2 linked regions of the Lytechinus pictus genome follow. The protein of the gene in region 2 purifies or fractionates together with the protein of the main gene of each other region. This does not show direct contact. Links are inferred from orthologs where the notes say so. Each region holds a gene or a part of one and is shown on either strand. Other genes may lie near its edges.

Region 1 (7,484 bases), on a different chromosome or scaffold from region 2:
CCTCACCAGGGTCGAGTGCAGCACAGTGTGGATAAATTTCTTGCTGAAGGAAAAGACGCCATGGCTAGGATTCAAACCCACGACCCTCTGTTTGAAAGGCAAGAGTCAGAACCACTAGACCACGATGAGCCCACATCAGATGTACCAGATGCAGTTAGAAGATGTACACATTATATTGGTTATAATTGCAAGAAAGTAATCTAAGTCAAGGACACAAAATTAAGTCATTCCTGAACACAGCAAGCGGTTCTTTGATAAGATTTTCCTAATGGGGCGTTGCAAGAAACTTGCGATCAATTGCAGATCTATTTTCGTTCGTGAAATCAAGTATATGCCGTGCAATTAATTGCAAATTTGCGATAGATTGCTAATCTGCTCCATGAAACAAGTACTTTAATCTGATTTTCTAAAGTTAAAAGTGATCAATCAACTGTAAAATTGCAACAGAATATTTGGGATTGATTGCAAATATTTTCTTGCAACACCCCCTTAGGGGTGCAAATGAGTTATTAAAAAAGGATATACTGATACCCTGGCACAAGCCAAACCCTTCCAAGGTGCCAAGGAATATCTTCTCAAGGCCAGGTTACCAAATTCAACATTTTTACAACTTACTGTTGGTTTTATTCTTGGTCTAGCAGCAGGCTTACGAGGTGGTATCTTTGGCCCTGAACTTTTTGTCTTCCCGATGTCGTCAGCTGAAACAGCTCCGGAGTTAAAGTATCTGCGAGAAATGTCACTGTGTACCCTATACCGGTACCGAGCAGCAGCAGTACTTGCTAAAGTATGGTAACCTCTAGAGGGTGCTGTTCCCTGTGGATCATTTTCTCTGGAAGAATGAGCTGCTGTCAAGTCTTCAGCAGCAAACTGAGAAGCTGACTCAGCAAAGGTATCACCCCATTCTTCAGGATCACTTGTCACAATGGAGTCACCCCAATCATCATTTTTCTCAGCCTATAAATTGGAAAATAATAGAATTTTGAAAGACATATGTTAGAATAAATAATGGGGAGTGGCAGTCAAGAAATTAAAAGGGCATTGAGAATAATTGTAAGTTTTCAAATTTGTTTTAAAATATTATCTACTAAGAATACTGTCATAAATGTGTCTAATGCGAACTTATTGTTGGATTAGATGGTCAGACCGTCAGTCACATAAGATAAGAAAAAAGACAGCTAAGATTTTGGGGGGAAAATTGTGTAGTTCCAACATGTGTTTCTATGCACTGTATGTGACTCAAGGCCGAGAAGATAATTTTTTTAATCTTTTTTTTTTGGCGATTCCAATATCTTACAGCATAAGCCATTAATTCTAAAATTTACTCTAACGCATATCAGGCAATTTCTTCAGCAGTTCAATATCCTGATAAGACAAGATTTCATATAATATTCAAACAATTTCTATGAAAAAATTGACTGCACAGGACAATATGAGATACATTGCTAATACCAACCATCTTCCATATAGACCTTTGTTTTGAATAGCATGTTCAAAATTTCATGAAAAAACAGGTATCATCAAAAGTAAAAACAGTCACTTAATTGTCTCTTCAAGAAGAAATAGATAAATAATTTCAAAAAGATATCTTTTAAAAAATCCCTACCTTGTTTAAATTCATCCATGCATCACTGACCCTCTCTTCTGTCTTGGTCTGGATACCTTGGACAGCTGACCTTAAACTAGAGTTAGCCCAGATCTGGCCTACTTCTTTGCATTGACCATCCACAAAGCTCTTGACCAAAAGTCCAAATCCATTAGCAGCCTTGGCGGCATCACCAAATCTTGATCCAGACATGGTGATTATCAACTCAATACAATCTCCTCAGTTATTTCCTGAAGTATGATCGATGACAATGAATAAAAGTTGGCAAATAGTAACAACATGATCAAGAGATTCAATAACTGTTTATGTCATGTGGAACTATGTAACCACAAATTGGGGTTGAGAGACAGGCATAAAGATTTAAGCGCAGAAGATATTCAGGTACCATACAATTCAAAACCACCTATAGATTCCTCCGCACATTTGAACAGGCCTAAATATTCAAGTATTTCTTTTCGTTCTTGATCCTTAGTCCAAACATGGACCTATTATGGTCCAAACAAATAGACCCTTTGTGCGTAAATGCGTCTGCATATACATGCCTTTTTCATACATGCTTTGTGCAATAGTGCATTCAAACTGTTATAATTAGTACTGCATAATTTAGACTTGAAATAACATATAATTCTGCTCAAATTACACATATTTCACAGCTGGTAGGATGTCTGGATGCTCATGTTGAAATAAACATGAATTTGAACACTTTCTCAAATTTGTTAATTTTGTGTTTGATTCTCTAGCACTTTGTAACAGGGTTGGCAAATTTAAATCACGACTTAAATATTCATTAGGTTGGCTGCTGATGTCACAACCCCAAATTACATGAAACCATAATATTTCATGTTTTATGTACATGAGTGTGTTATATGCCTCGCTTAAAATAAAATAAGTGTCATCAATATACCTAATGTATGGCAGTGTATCCTATTGCCGGACACCTTTATTTCAGTGCTTTAAAAATGACAACTAGAGGAAATACAATCAAGAAAAATTCACACTTGCTATTCCAAATATTATGAAAATTATAAATATGATAAAATTATTTTATATTTACCAACCATTTTCTTTGCATCGCAGTTGCCGCATACCCCTCCACGAAAAACAATTATTTTCGTGCGCGACAAATTACATCATGATTCCGGACGCGCGCCGGACGGGTAAAGATATCCTTGATTATAATGATGTAAGAGCAAATTTGTGTGATTTTTTTCTTCTTATATCATATCATGAGTAAATTCTAAGTATTATTTGCTTTTTTATATCGAATCTGAGCAGATGTTGGTAATAAATTCGTGTTCGATAACTTATTTTATTTTGTCTTGTTAGCTGCATGTTCCATGGCACTTTCCAATAATAATATGCTCGCGTTCGTATCGTGACGCTTATCAAGTTCTATCGATGCGCTGCCGATCGACGGCTCTACTCACGGTATACCTCGCGCACGGGTACCTTGAGAACTAGCCATCGATGATCACCCACAATTCACCACACCTCATCATTCGATCGAAGGAGTGGACGAGATTGAAATTCTGCAAAATCAGGCCCATATTTCCGTTAGAAAATATATCAATTGTTAATACAAAACTATGTTATATGATATTTTAAGCATTTTCTGTCATTTTGAGAGATAATTAGGTAAAAGTTGGATTTTTTGCCTTGTTTTTATTGCAATCTTGTTCTATGTATTGCTCTGTGAAATCGAATTACGGAAGTCTTACGGTACGAATTTGTTTTAGAACGCAGTAATATGCGCGTCCGGAATCATAATAGTGTCCGGTAATACAATACGTGACTATACTAAATTTGTCAATCCAACTTTTTTAGTTCTTGGAATACATCTATAGAATAAACATAATTTCATGTTAATACAAAAGACAGTGGCGTAATGAGCCAAAACAATTTTAGAGGGTTCAATATGGTTTATCGTGTAAAATTACGAAAAAGTTGTGAGCGAGCAAAAATTTTTGCTTTTAGTTTACCTTTTTACTTTTAGGCAATTTGCTTCCTCTTTTATCTCGGCAACCCCTGGTCCAATTTCATGATCTTTATTCTTGGTGTCATTTTACTCGTGTTTCAAAGCTTATTCCAGTTAAACTATTTAAAACTAGAATTACGACACTTCAATTTTTGGGGCACATCCCTATAAATATCCCTCTAACTAAAAGTTAAGTCTAACTTTATATCTACACCATGTGACCATGCACCAGGCAGAGGCAGAGAGGATTCAGACACAGCTGAAAATGTCACTTTCTTTTTTTACATTCGATTTTGATGAAATTTTCAGTGTTATCCTTGTTTGATTTTTCTCTATTGATTCAAATCAACTTTTCCCTGGGGTGGACTTGCCCTTAATTGTATTGCATAACGTTTAACGGACTCACCTGCGAGTTCCACTTCCAAAATTTCCACCGGCGTGTCGTAATTTGCTGGGCCAGCGGAGAAGGCAGCTAAACATATCAGATTACGTTGCTCAGTCTTGATCTCTCCAGCACACAAAACCACAACCCCCACGAACATGCGATGCGGAGTGGTGATGTAATGAACAATTTTGTGAAAATTATGAAAACAAAATGGAAAAATCCATTTCATTAGAAGGTAATTATATTAAATGGATTCTAACAAAGAATAGATGGGTCTATCTCAAATTAAAAGCAAGGAATATACTGAGGATTATTCTTCAAAAACTAGGACTAAGTTGTCAAAGATTAGAATGAGTTGTATCTCCTCTTTGTCGAGACTATGTGAATGTCTATTTTTCTATTGAAAAAGTATTTATTTTTCTTTGGACGGAACAATTATTCCCTTCTTGATAATGTATCAATCCTAGCAGAAGTTAAAGACAAACTATGTTTTATGCTCCTTCACTTTAACTACGAGAAACGCAAATTATTACAAAGAAACGAGTTGTGTCTTCAAATCCCGGAAGTCGTAGTTTCGCGCCAGCTTTAGTTCACGTGGTTTATTATTCCCGCGAAGTTCATAACAAAGATTTGGATTCTGATCTAAAAGAATACGTGCTCTCTGACTGATTGTGCTCCAAAATGGCAGGATTTGATGATCCAGGAATCTTTTTCTCTGACAATTTTGGATCAGAAGATCAACCTGATGATGGCAGGATTAATCGAGCCGCCTTGCAACGTCGTTTCAAGGACTTTCTTCGAAAGTTTCATGATGCAAACTTTTCCTACAAATACCGGTAAGAAAGAGACTGCACTGCACTGCTAGCGCGGCTGGCGGTGCGGTGTGTCTGTGCATATTTTTGGGACATTTAAATTTTAAAGGTAAAAGGTAAACATTTTAAAGGTTTTAAAGGTAAAAGCTAGATCCACTCAAGGATTCATTACCATCCTGCCTGTGGGGAATCTAGTACAGGTAGGACTATGGAGTATGGTGTATGCCAATGCTGTACACAGCACACAATTTAAAGCCTTTAAAGGGAATGGTCCGGGCTGAAGTAAAATATTAATATGTGAAATAAATAGAGTAAAATTCAGGTAAGAGTTCCATAATATATGCACCCCAGGCCCCACTAAAATTGAAAACAAAAAATAGGAGAAGGTTCAGAATAATATATCTAGCCCTAATATAGGCCTAGGCCTAGAACATATATGATGGGGGAGTGGAAATAAATACCAAAATATGGCTTTATACCGTCAAATTTCGAGCAGGATCTATCTATAATCTAGTTTTATTTAGTCGGTAACTAAGTAAGTAAAGCCAGGGACCGGCAGGGTCTGTGTCCTGTGAGTCAAGACGAGTCGAACTACCGGCTGATAATCGTTAAAAATACCCCTTCCGGTATCAGCGCTTCTCGCTAGCATAGCGGGAAAGGTCTTGACTGCAGATAAAACGAGGTGAGTTCGAGTCCCAACTAACATGACTAAGGTATTTAAAGCAACAGTAAAGAAATGATAGGAACAAACCGGAAGTCTCAACAATCTTTTTTTATTTTTGGTGGGGGGTGCATATGGAACCATGGAACTCTTTCCAAAATTCACAGAGCAAATTGCTGAAAATTTCATCAAAAATGGATAACAAATACTGAAGTTATTGAATTTAAAGTTTAATCAATAAGACAATATTTTGTGAAAACAGTAATAGACTATATACGCACATCGTCATGAATATTCATTAAGTGGGCTGATGATGTCACTTCCCCACTTTCCTTTTTCTTTTGTTTTACATGTATTACATGAAATCATAATTGTTTCATTTTTTCATACATGTGTAAATGATGCGTCTCCATTATGATGAAATAAGTTGCGGCAATAAATAACTAATGCACTAAATCAGTTGTCAATCGAATTATTTTAGTTCTTGGTAGAAACATTTTGAATAAACCTAATATATAATAAAATAGAATTGAGGACTTCGTGATGATATTTTTTGATATTTTGACATAGATCTAGACCTATATATATGTCAAAATATTATTTAATATTTTGACATAGAATCTATATGTCAAAATATTTAAAAATATCATCATGAAGTCCTCAGGCTAATAATAAATACAAAAGAACAAGTGGGGATATGACATCATCAGCCCACCTAATGAATATTCATGAAGACTTGCCTAGAACTGTTTCACAGGAATAATGCAAATCTTTCAAAATTCAATTACTTCGATATTTGTTATCCGATTTTAATCAAATTTTCAGCATTTTGCTCTGTGAATTTTAATCTATTTATTGAGATATAAATATCTCCAGGCTGGACCATCCCTTTAAAAAATCATTAAAATATCACTTTTGTGACCAAATATACTAATTTCCATACAGTTGCAATTTATTTTTCATTAGTAACTTGGGAGTAATTTTTTGTATTCACCAGAGCGCTCGAAAACTTGAATTTCGGGCATATTTTTATGTTCAATTCAATTCAATTCAATTCAATGTCTTTATTTCCATATCAGTAAAAAAAATAAAATTCATATTTACAACACATAACATTATAAATGCATTTCTAGTCATTAAATATTTACATACATAAAGAGAGCATTAAAAAAAATGCATTTCATAATCCATGTACAATAATATAATAGATGAGGAAAAAGGGGGGAACTAAAAAGCGAAGCTTGTGGGTTAAATGTTCCCCCCAGGAACAAAAATTCAGTAGATTGTGTACACAAAGAAGATGATAAAAAAAGCGTTTAAACAGAGTAACAAAGCAAAAACAAAACAAACACATCCACACCACACAGTCAATCACACAGGCATGGGGGGGGGGGAGGAGGTATTTGTGCCTAGTCAATTGTGCCTGGAACAAGTCACTCTAAAATTTGTAAATGAAAAGAAAAAAAAAAAAAAAAAAAAAAAAAAAAAAAAGTTTCAAGTGAACCAGCCACAAAGAGTGAGACGCATCAAATACCGGTAAAGCACAATGTACATACATATTATCCAATTATTAGAGAGAGAAAAAAAAATATATATATTTAGTGACTATAAGTGGATAGCAAGCTTGATTTACATTTTTGTTTAAAAGAGTTTAAATAGCTGCATGATGTAACATTCACATTCAGAGTATTCCATATCCGAGGACCTTGATGACGGATTAATCTCAGTGAGCGATCATTTTCTACTTTTGAATAGTGTAATTTTGAACTTTGTCGGGTATTGTAAGAATGAATATGCTTATTTTGTTGAAAAAATGAAGAGATATTGCTAGGTAATATTGTTTTTTTTAGTTTGAACATTAGAATAGCAGTTTGGTAAGTATGAATATCAAAAATATTCAACGTTTTAAGTCTAAAGAATATTGGTTGAGAATGGGCAAGGAAATGAGAAGATGTACAAATTCGTAAAGCCTTTTTCTGAAGTTTGTGCAAGGGTTCAAGTTTTGTTGAACCTGTCCCTCCCCATGCAATATTACAGTATTGTAAATA
Region 2 (7,519 bases):
TGTGTATATTTTCGTAGTACGTGTAGGCCAACACAGTCCGCGATGGTAGCGGTGTGTTGGTGTCTGTAGTCGGTACAGGCCAACACTGCCCTCGATGCCAACGATCTATATCTGTGTTCTGTAGTATGTAGACCAACAGTGTCCGCGATGCCAACGATGTGTATATTTCCGTAGTATGTGTAGACCAACATTGCCCGCGATGCCAACGATGTGTTGGTGTCTGTAGTACAGGCCAACATTGCCCTCGATGCCAACGATGCGATCATATCTGTAGTTGCCTATGTAAACCAACATTGCCCACCATGGCAACGATGTGTTGGTGTCTGTAGTACATGCCAACAGTGCCCGTGATGCCAACGATGCGATCATATCTGTAGTTTCCTATGTAGACCAACATTGCCCGCGATGCCAACGATGTGTTGGTGTCTGTACTGTAGAGTACAGGCTAACATTGCCCTCGATGCCAACGATGTGAATGTATCTTTAGTAGGTATAGGCCAACAGCGCCCGCGATGCCAACGATGTGTTGGTGCCTGTAGTAGATGCCAACAGTGCCAACGATGCCAACAATGTAAATGTATCTTTAGTACGTATAGGCCAACAGCGCCGGCCAGGATGCCAACGATGTGTTGGTGTCTGTAGTATAGGCCAACCTTGCCCGCGATGCCAACGATGTGAATGTATCTTTTGTATGTATAGGCCAACAGCGCCCGCGATGCCAACGATGTGTTGGTGCCTGTAGTAGATGCCAACAGTGCCAACGATGCCAACAATGTAAATGTATCTTTAGTACGTATAGGCCAACAGCGCCGGCCAGGATGCCAACGATGTGTTGGTGTCTGTAGTACAGGCCAACCTTGCCATCGATGCCAACGATGTGAATGTATCTTTAGTAAGTATAGGCCAACTTTGCCGGCGATGCCAACGATGTGAACGTATGTTTAGTATGTATATACCAACAGCGCCCGCGATGCCAACGATGTGTTGGTGCCTGTAGTAGATGCCAACAGTGCCAACGATGTGAATGTATCTTACATAGGCCAACATTGCCGGCGATGCCAACGATGTGAATATGCCTGTAGTAGAGGCCAACATTGCCGGCGATGCCAACGATGTGAATATGCCTGTAGTAGAGGCCAACATTGCCGGCGATGCCAACGATGTGAATGTATCTTTAGTAAGTATAGGCCAACTTTGCCGGCGATGCCAACGATGTGAATGTATGTTTAGTATGTATATACCAACAGCGCCCGCGATGCCAACGATGTGTTGGTGCCTGTAGTAGATGCCAACAGTGCCAACGATGTGAATGTATCTTACATAGGCCAACATTGCCGGCGATGCCAACGATGTGAATATGCCTGTTGTAGAGGCCAACATTGCCGGCGATGCCAACGATGTGAATATAACCCTAACCCTAACCCTAACCCTAACCCTAACCCTAACCCTAAACCCTAACCCTAACCCTAAACCCTAACCCTAACCCTAACCCTAACCCTAACCCTAACCCTAAACCCTAACCCTAACCCTAACCCTAACCCTAACCCTAAACCCTAACCCCTAACCCTAACCCTAAACCCTAACCCTAACCCTAACCCTAACCCTAAACCCTAACCCTAACCCTAACCCTAACCCTAACCCTAACCCTAACCCTAATTGAATTCAATTCCCATTGAATTCCTTCAATGGGAATTAAAACTTTATTTCATATTTTAATGAAGAAAAAATGAAAATATTTCATGTATAAAAAATACAAAAGAAATAGAGAGTGAATGACATCGATCACCTCACTAACCAGGATATGCATATATTAAACTGTTTTGTGAAACCATACTTTGAAACGCTTGCCAACGATGTTTTGAATGTTGCATTGCACGGTCACATCGTTGGTCGTTGGCTAGCGGCGCACCCAACGATGTATAGCAATAGCTAGTAGTAGTAGGTAATTTAAAAGAGTGTATTAATCTTGTACTATTGCACCTTCACATCGTGGGTCGTTGGTTAGCCAACGATGTTTTAAATGTTACATGGCACCGTCACATCGTTGGTCGTTGGCTAGCGATGTTTTGAATATTATATTGCACCGTCCGTACCGTCACAACGTGGGTCGTTGGCTAGCAGCGCACCCAACGATGTTTAATTATAGCTCTAGTAGTAGTCAAAGGGCAAAGGTCATTACGTATGGCCTGGATGCATTGCTCGTACGTACCGTCATACGTACGTACGTACGTAGTATAGTAGTAGTAGTAGTACCAGTAATGCATGTACGTATATAATAGTATGGATATATCTAGGCTATATACCATTGAATTAGTATATAGCTATAGGTCTTGACATCGTTGTGTTGGCTGACCAACGATTGGGTAGTGAGCAGTGTCGGGGTATTCTGCAGTTAAGCCAAAAACAGTTTTAAATCGCGATCTATAAAACGCTAGTTCACTATACGTTGGCTGTAGGTACGGGGCCCCATCCCCTTCAGTCTATGTATGGTGAGTGGAGCCAACGTAGTTCAGCGGAACAACCAAAATACAGAGACTGAAGCTTTTGGTCTAGTATGTGAGTGACTGTGACTGAAAAAATAACACTGCAAAAAAAAATAACTCTTACTCTTAGACTTAGTAACAAACATCGATTTGAGCGGGTGGGACCGTACTTGGAAAGACGGCGATGAAATTAAATACAAACGAATAGAATTCATATCAAGTTCACACAATGAAAACACAGTAGAAAATACTTACATGATGTAGAATAACGTCATAGAATTGTGTTTTAATGTCTGTAATGAACATAATGTTGCTGACTTGGAAGTAAATATAATAAATCTGATGACAATAGGCTCCAATACTATTTCATTTTTCCCGCGGATGAGGGTCAAAAGGTAATATGCTGAAGTTAGAAGTAATTTCGGCACGGGGATACTTTATAAAATTGCCAATTTAAAAATTTAGAAGAAACGAAATGTATTCTGTACTTAGAAGAGGTATTGATCTTGATGTAACTCATATGCAGTGGCGTAGCTATACATACGGCGCGGGCGGGGGGGGGGGGGGGGGGGCAGGTGGGCACGTGCCCCCCCCCCCCCTGAAAAAAATTGGCTGAGCAAAAAAAGGAGAGAAAGAACGAAAAAAAGAAGGGAAAGATAGAAGAAAAAAGAGGGGGAAATGAAGAGGAGGGAGACAAGTGAATAAAAAAGGTGAGGGGAAGACTTTAAAAAAAAATTCATGTCACGATATAAAATTTTCATTCACGTTCTCCTTGTCTGACGTTCGATGAGATTCATATCTTGCTCAATATAGGTTAATATGGAGCTTAACGTATTAATTAATTTAATTTTTAAACACTTTAAACGATATAGATGAAAAAGGCATGAAAAATATACTTTACCGATGTTTAATTGGGTTGAACACGATAAAAATGGTCAAAATGGCAGCCAAACTATAAAATATTTACAAACGAACGTCAACAATCACGAATGTGATATCGATATTGCTTTCGATATTATACGATCTGCTCCATATGCGAACGAAACCGAAGATAAACGATACTAGTTATACTAGTACTAGTACTAGTTATAATCGCGATATATCGATTCGAGACATTAAGTTAATAACGATAATGACGTCATTCAAGATGGCAACTTGCAAGAAAAACCGTCAGGTCAGGTGAAAATGTCTTAGATGACAGATTTCTCAATCATCCAGAGGATTTTTTTCAATAACTCCGGCCCAAGGTATGCAATTACTAATTATTATTTATATTTCCCTGATAATGGAAACCATGAAACTTTCAATTTTGCTTAAAAAACAGGGAACAACTGCAGAATACCCGGACACTGCGTTACCTTATCGTTGGAGAGCCAACGCACAACGATGTACTTAAGCTATCAAATCAGAAAATCAGCTATAATAAATAATTGAATGATTTACAACTTACAAGTATTTTTTGAATAGATTCTAAGTGTTCAGACTGCACTGTAACGCTAACGATGCGAGCGCGCGCGATTAGTATGTAGACCAACAGTGTCCACGATGCCAACGATGTGTATATTTTCGTAGTACGTGTAGGCCAACACAGTCCGCGATGCTAGCGGTGCGTTGGTGTCCGTAGTACAGGCCAACACTGCCCGCGATGCCAACGATCTATATATATATCTGTGTGCATCTGTAGTATGTAGGCCGACATTGCCCGCGATGCCAACGATGTGTATATTTTCGTAGTACGTGTAGGCCAACACAGTCCGCGATGGTAGCGGTGTGTTGGTGTCTGTAGTCGGTACAGGCCAACACTGCCCTCGATGCCAACGATCTATATCTGTGTTCTGTAGTATGTAGACCAACAGTGTCCGCGATGCCAACGATGTGTATATTTCCGTAGTATGTGTAGACCAACATTGCCCGCGATGCCAACGATGTGTTGGTGTCTGTAGTACAGGCCAACATTGCCCTCGATGCCAACGATGCGATCATATCTGTAGTTGCCTATGTAAACCAACATTGCCCACCATGGCAACGATGTGTTGGTGTCTGTAGTACATGCCAACAGTGCCCGTGATGCCAACGATGCGATCATATCTGTAGTTTCCTATGTAGACCAACATTGCCCGCGATGCCAACGATGTGTTGGTGTCTGTACTGTAGAGTACAGGCTAACATTGCCCTCGATGCCAACGATGTGAATGTATCTTTAGTAGGTATAGGCCAACAGCGCCCGCGATGCCAACGATGTGTTGGTGCCTGTAGTAGATGCCAACAGTGCCAACGATGCCAACAATGTAAATGTATCTTTAGTACGTATAGGCCAACAGCGCCGGCCAGGATGCCAACGATGTGTTGGTGTCTGTAGTATAGGCCAACCTTGCCCGCGATGCCAACGATGTGAATGTATCTTTTGTATGTATAGGCCAACAGCGCCCGCGATGCCAACGATGTGTTGGTGCCTGTAGTAGATGCCAACAGTGCCAACGATGCCAACAATGTAAATGTATCTTTAGTACGTATAGGCCAACAGCGCCGGCCAGGATGCCAACGATGTGTTGGTGTCTGTAGTACAGGCCAACCTTGCCATTGATGCCAACGATGTGAATGTATCTTTAGTAAGTATAGGCCAACTTTGCCGGCGATGCCAACGATGTGAACGTATGTTTAGTATGTATATACCAACAGCGCCCGCGATGCCAACGATGTGTTGGTGCCTGTAGTAGATGCCAACAGTGCCAACGATGTGAATGTATCTTACATAGGCCAACATTGCCGGCGATGCCAACGATGTGAATATGCCTGTAGTAGAGGCCAACATTGCCGGCGATGCCAACGATGTGAATATGCCTGTAGTAGAGGCCAACATTGCCGGCGATGCCAACGATGTGAATGTATCTTTAGTAAGTATAGGCCAACTTTGCCGGCGATGCCAACGATGTGAATGTATGTTTAGTATGTATATACCAACAGCGCCCGCGATGCCAACGATGTGTTGGTGCCTGTAGTAGATGCCAACAGTGCCAACGATGTGAATGTATCTTACATAGGCCAACATTGCCGGCGATGCCAACGATGTGAATATGCCTGTTGTAGAGGCCAACATTGCCGGCGATGCCAACGATGTGAATATAACCCTAACCCTAACCCTAACCCTAACCCTAACCCTAACCCTAAACCCTAACCCTAACCCTAAACCCTAACCCTAACCCTAACCCTAACCCTAACCCTAACCCTAAACCCTAACCCTAACCCTAACCCTAACCCTAACCCTAAACCCTAACCCTAACCCTAAACCCTAACCCTAACCCTAACCCTAACCCTAACCCTAAACCCTAACCCTAACCCTAACCCTAACCCTAACCCTAACCCTAATTGAATTCAATTCCCATTGAATTCCTTCAATGGGAATTAAAACTTTATTTCATATTTTAATGAAGAAAAAATGAAAATATTTCATGTATAAAAAATACAAAAGAAATAGAGAGTGAATGACATCGATCACCTCACTAACCAGGATATGCATATATTAAACTGTTTTGTGAAACCATACTTTGAAACGCTTGCCAACGATGTTTTGAATGTTGCATTGCACGGTCACATCGTTGGTCGTTGGCTAGCGGCGCACCCAACGATGTATAGCAATAGCTAGTAGTAGTAGGTAATTTAAAAGAGTGTATTAATCTTGTACTATTGCACCTTCACATCGTGGGTCGTTGGTTAGCCAACGATGTTTTAAATGTTACATGGCACCGTCACATCGTTGGTCGTTGGCTAGCGATGTTTTGAATATTATATTGCACCGTCCGTACCGTCACAACGTGGGTCGTTGGCTAGCAGCGCACCCAACGATGTTTAATTATAGCTCTAGTAGTAGTCAAAGGGCAAAGGTCATTACGTATGGCCTGGATGCATTGCTCGTACGTACCGTCATACGTACGTACGTACGTAGTATAGTAGTAGTAGTAGTACCAGTAATGCATGTACGTATATAATAGTATGGATATATCTAGGCTATATACCATTGAATTAGTATATAGCTATAGGTCTTGACATCGTTGTGTTGGCTGACCAACGATTGGGTAGTGAGCAGTGTCGGGGTATTCTGCAGTTAAGCCAAAAACAGTTTTAAATCGCGATCTATAAAACGCTAGTTCACTATACGTTGGCTGTAGGTACGGGGCCCCATCCCCTTCAGTCTATGTATGGTGAGTGGAGCCAACGTAGTTCAGCGGAACAACCAAAATACAGAGACTGAAGCTTTTGGTCTAGTATGTGAGTGACTGTGACTGAAAAAATAACACTGCAAAAAAAAATAACTCTTACTCTTAGACTTAGTAACAAACATCGATTTGAGCGGGTGGGACCGTACTTGGAAAGACGGCGATGAAATTAAATACAAACGAATAGAATTCATATCAAGTTCACACAATGAAAACACAGTAGAAAATACTTACATGATGTAGAATAACGTCATAGAATTGTGTTTTAATGTCTGTAATGAACATAATGTTGCTGACTTGGAAGTAAATATAATAAATCTGATGACAATAGGCTCCAATACTATTTCATTTTTCCCGCGGATGAGGGTCAAAAGGTAATATGCTGAAGTTAGAAGTAATTTCGGCACGGGGATACTTTATAAAATTGCCAATTTAAAAATTTAGAAGAAACGAAATGTATTCTGTACTTAGAAGAGGTATTGATCTTGATGTAACTCATATGCAGTGGCGTAGCTATACATACGGCGCGGGCGGGGGGGGGGGGGCAGGTGGGCACGTGCCCCCCCCCCCCTGAAAAAAATTGGCTGAGCAAAAAAAGGAGAGAAAGAACGAAAAAAAGAAGGGAAAGATAGAAGAAAAAAGAGGGGGAAATGAAGAGGAGGGAGACAAGTGAATAAAAAAGGTGAGGGGAAGACTTTAAAAAAAAATTCATGTCACGATATAAAATTTTCATTCACGTTCTCCTTGTCTGACGTTCGATGAGATTCATATCTTGCTCAATATAGGTTAATATGGAGCTTAACGTATTAATTTTTGAAAGAA

Evidence for each region. Proteins that work in one complex are often made in the same cells at the same time.
Region 1: the proteins of cell division control protein 45 homolog (region 2) and DNA replication licensing factor mcm5-like purify together in Drosophila melanogaster (affinity purification with western blotting; 4 studies listed by BioGRID, with this or other methods). This does not show direct contact. The link is inferred for Lytechinus pictus from reciprocal best matches to the Drosophila melanogaster genes Cdc45 and Mcm5.

Annotation. Positions count from the first base shown.
Region 1 is NC_087251.1:6,433,671-6,441,154, forward strand, and holds the start of DNA replication licensing factor mcm5-like, read left to right. Parts: upstream 1-4,477; 5' UTR 4,478-4,644; coding exon 4,645-4,799; intron 4,800-7,484. Other genes in the region: atypical kinase COQ8B, mitochondrial-like, read right to left, coding at 616-954, 1,604-1,795. UniProt on the Drosophila melanogaster protein: Acts as a component of the Mcm2-7 complex (Mcm complex) which is the putative replicative helicase essential for 'once per cell cycle' DNA replication initiation and elongation in eukaryotic cells.
Region 2 is NC_087246.1:10,233,093-10,240,611, forward strand, and holds the start of cell division control protein 45 homolog, read right to left. Parts: upstream 3,022-7,519; 5' UTR 2,790-3,021; coding exon 2,739-2,789; intron 1-2,738.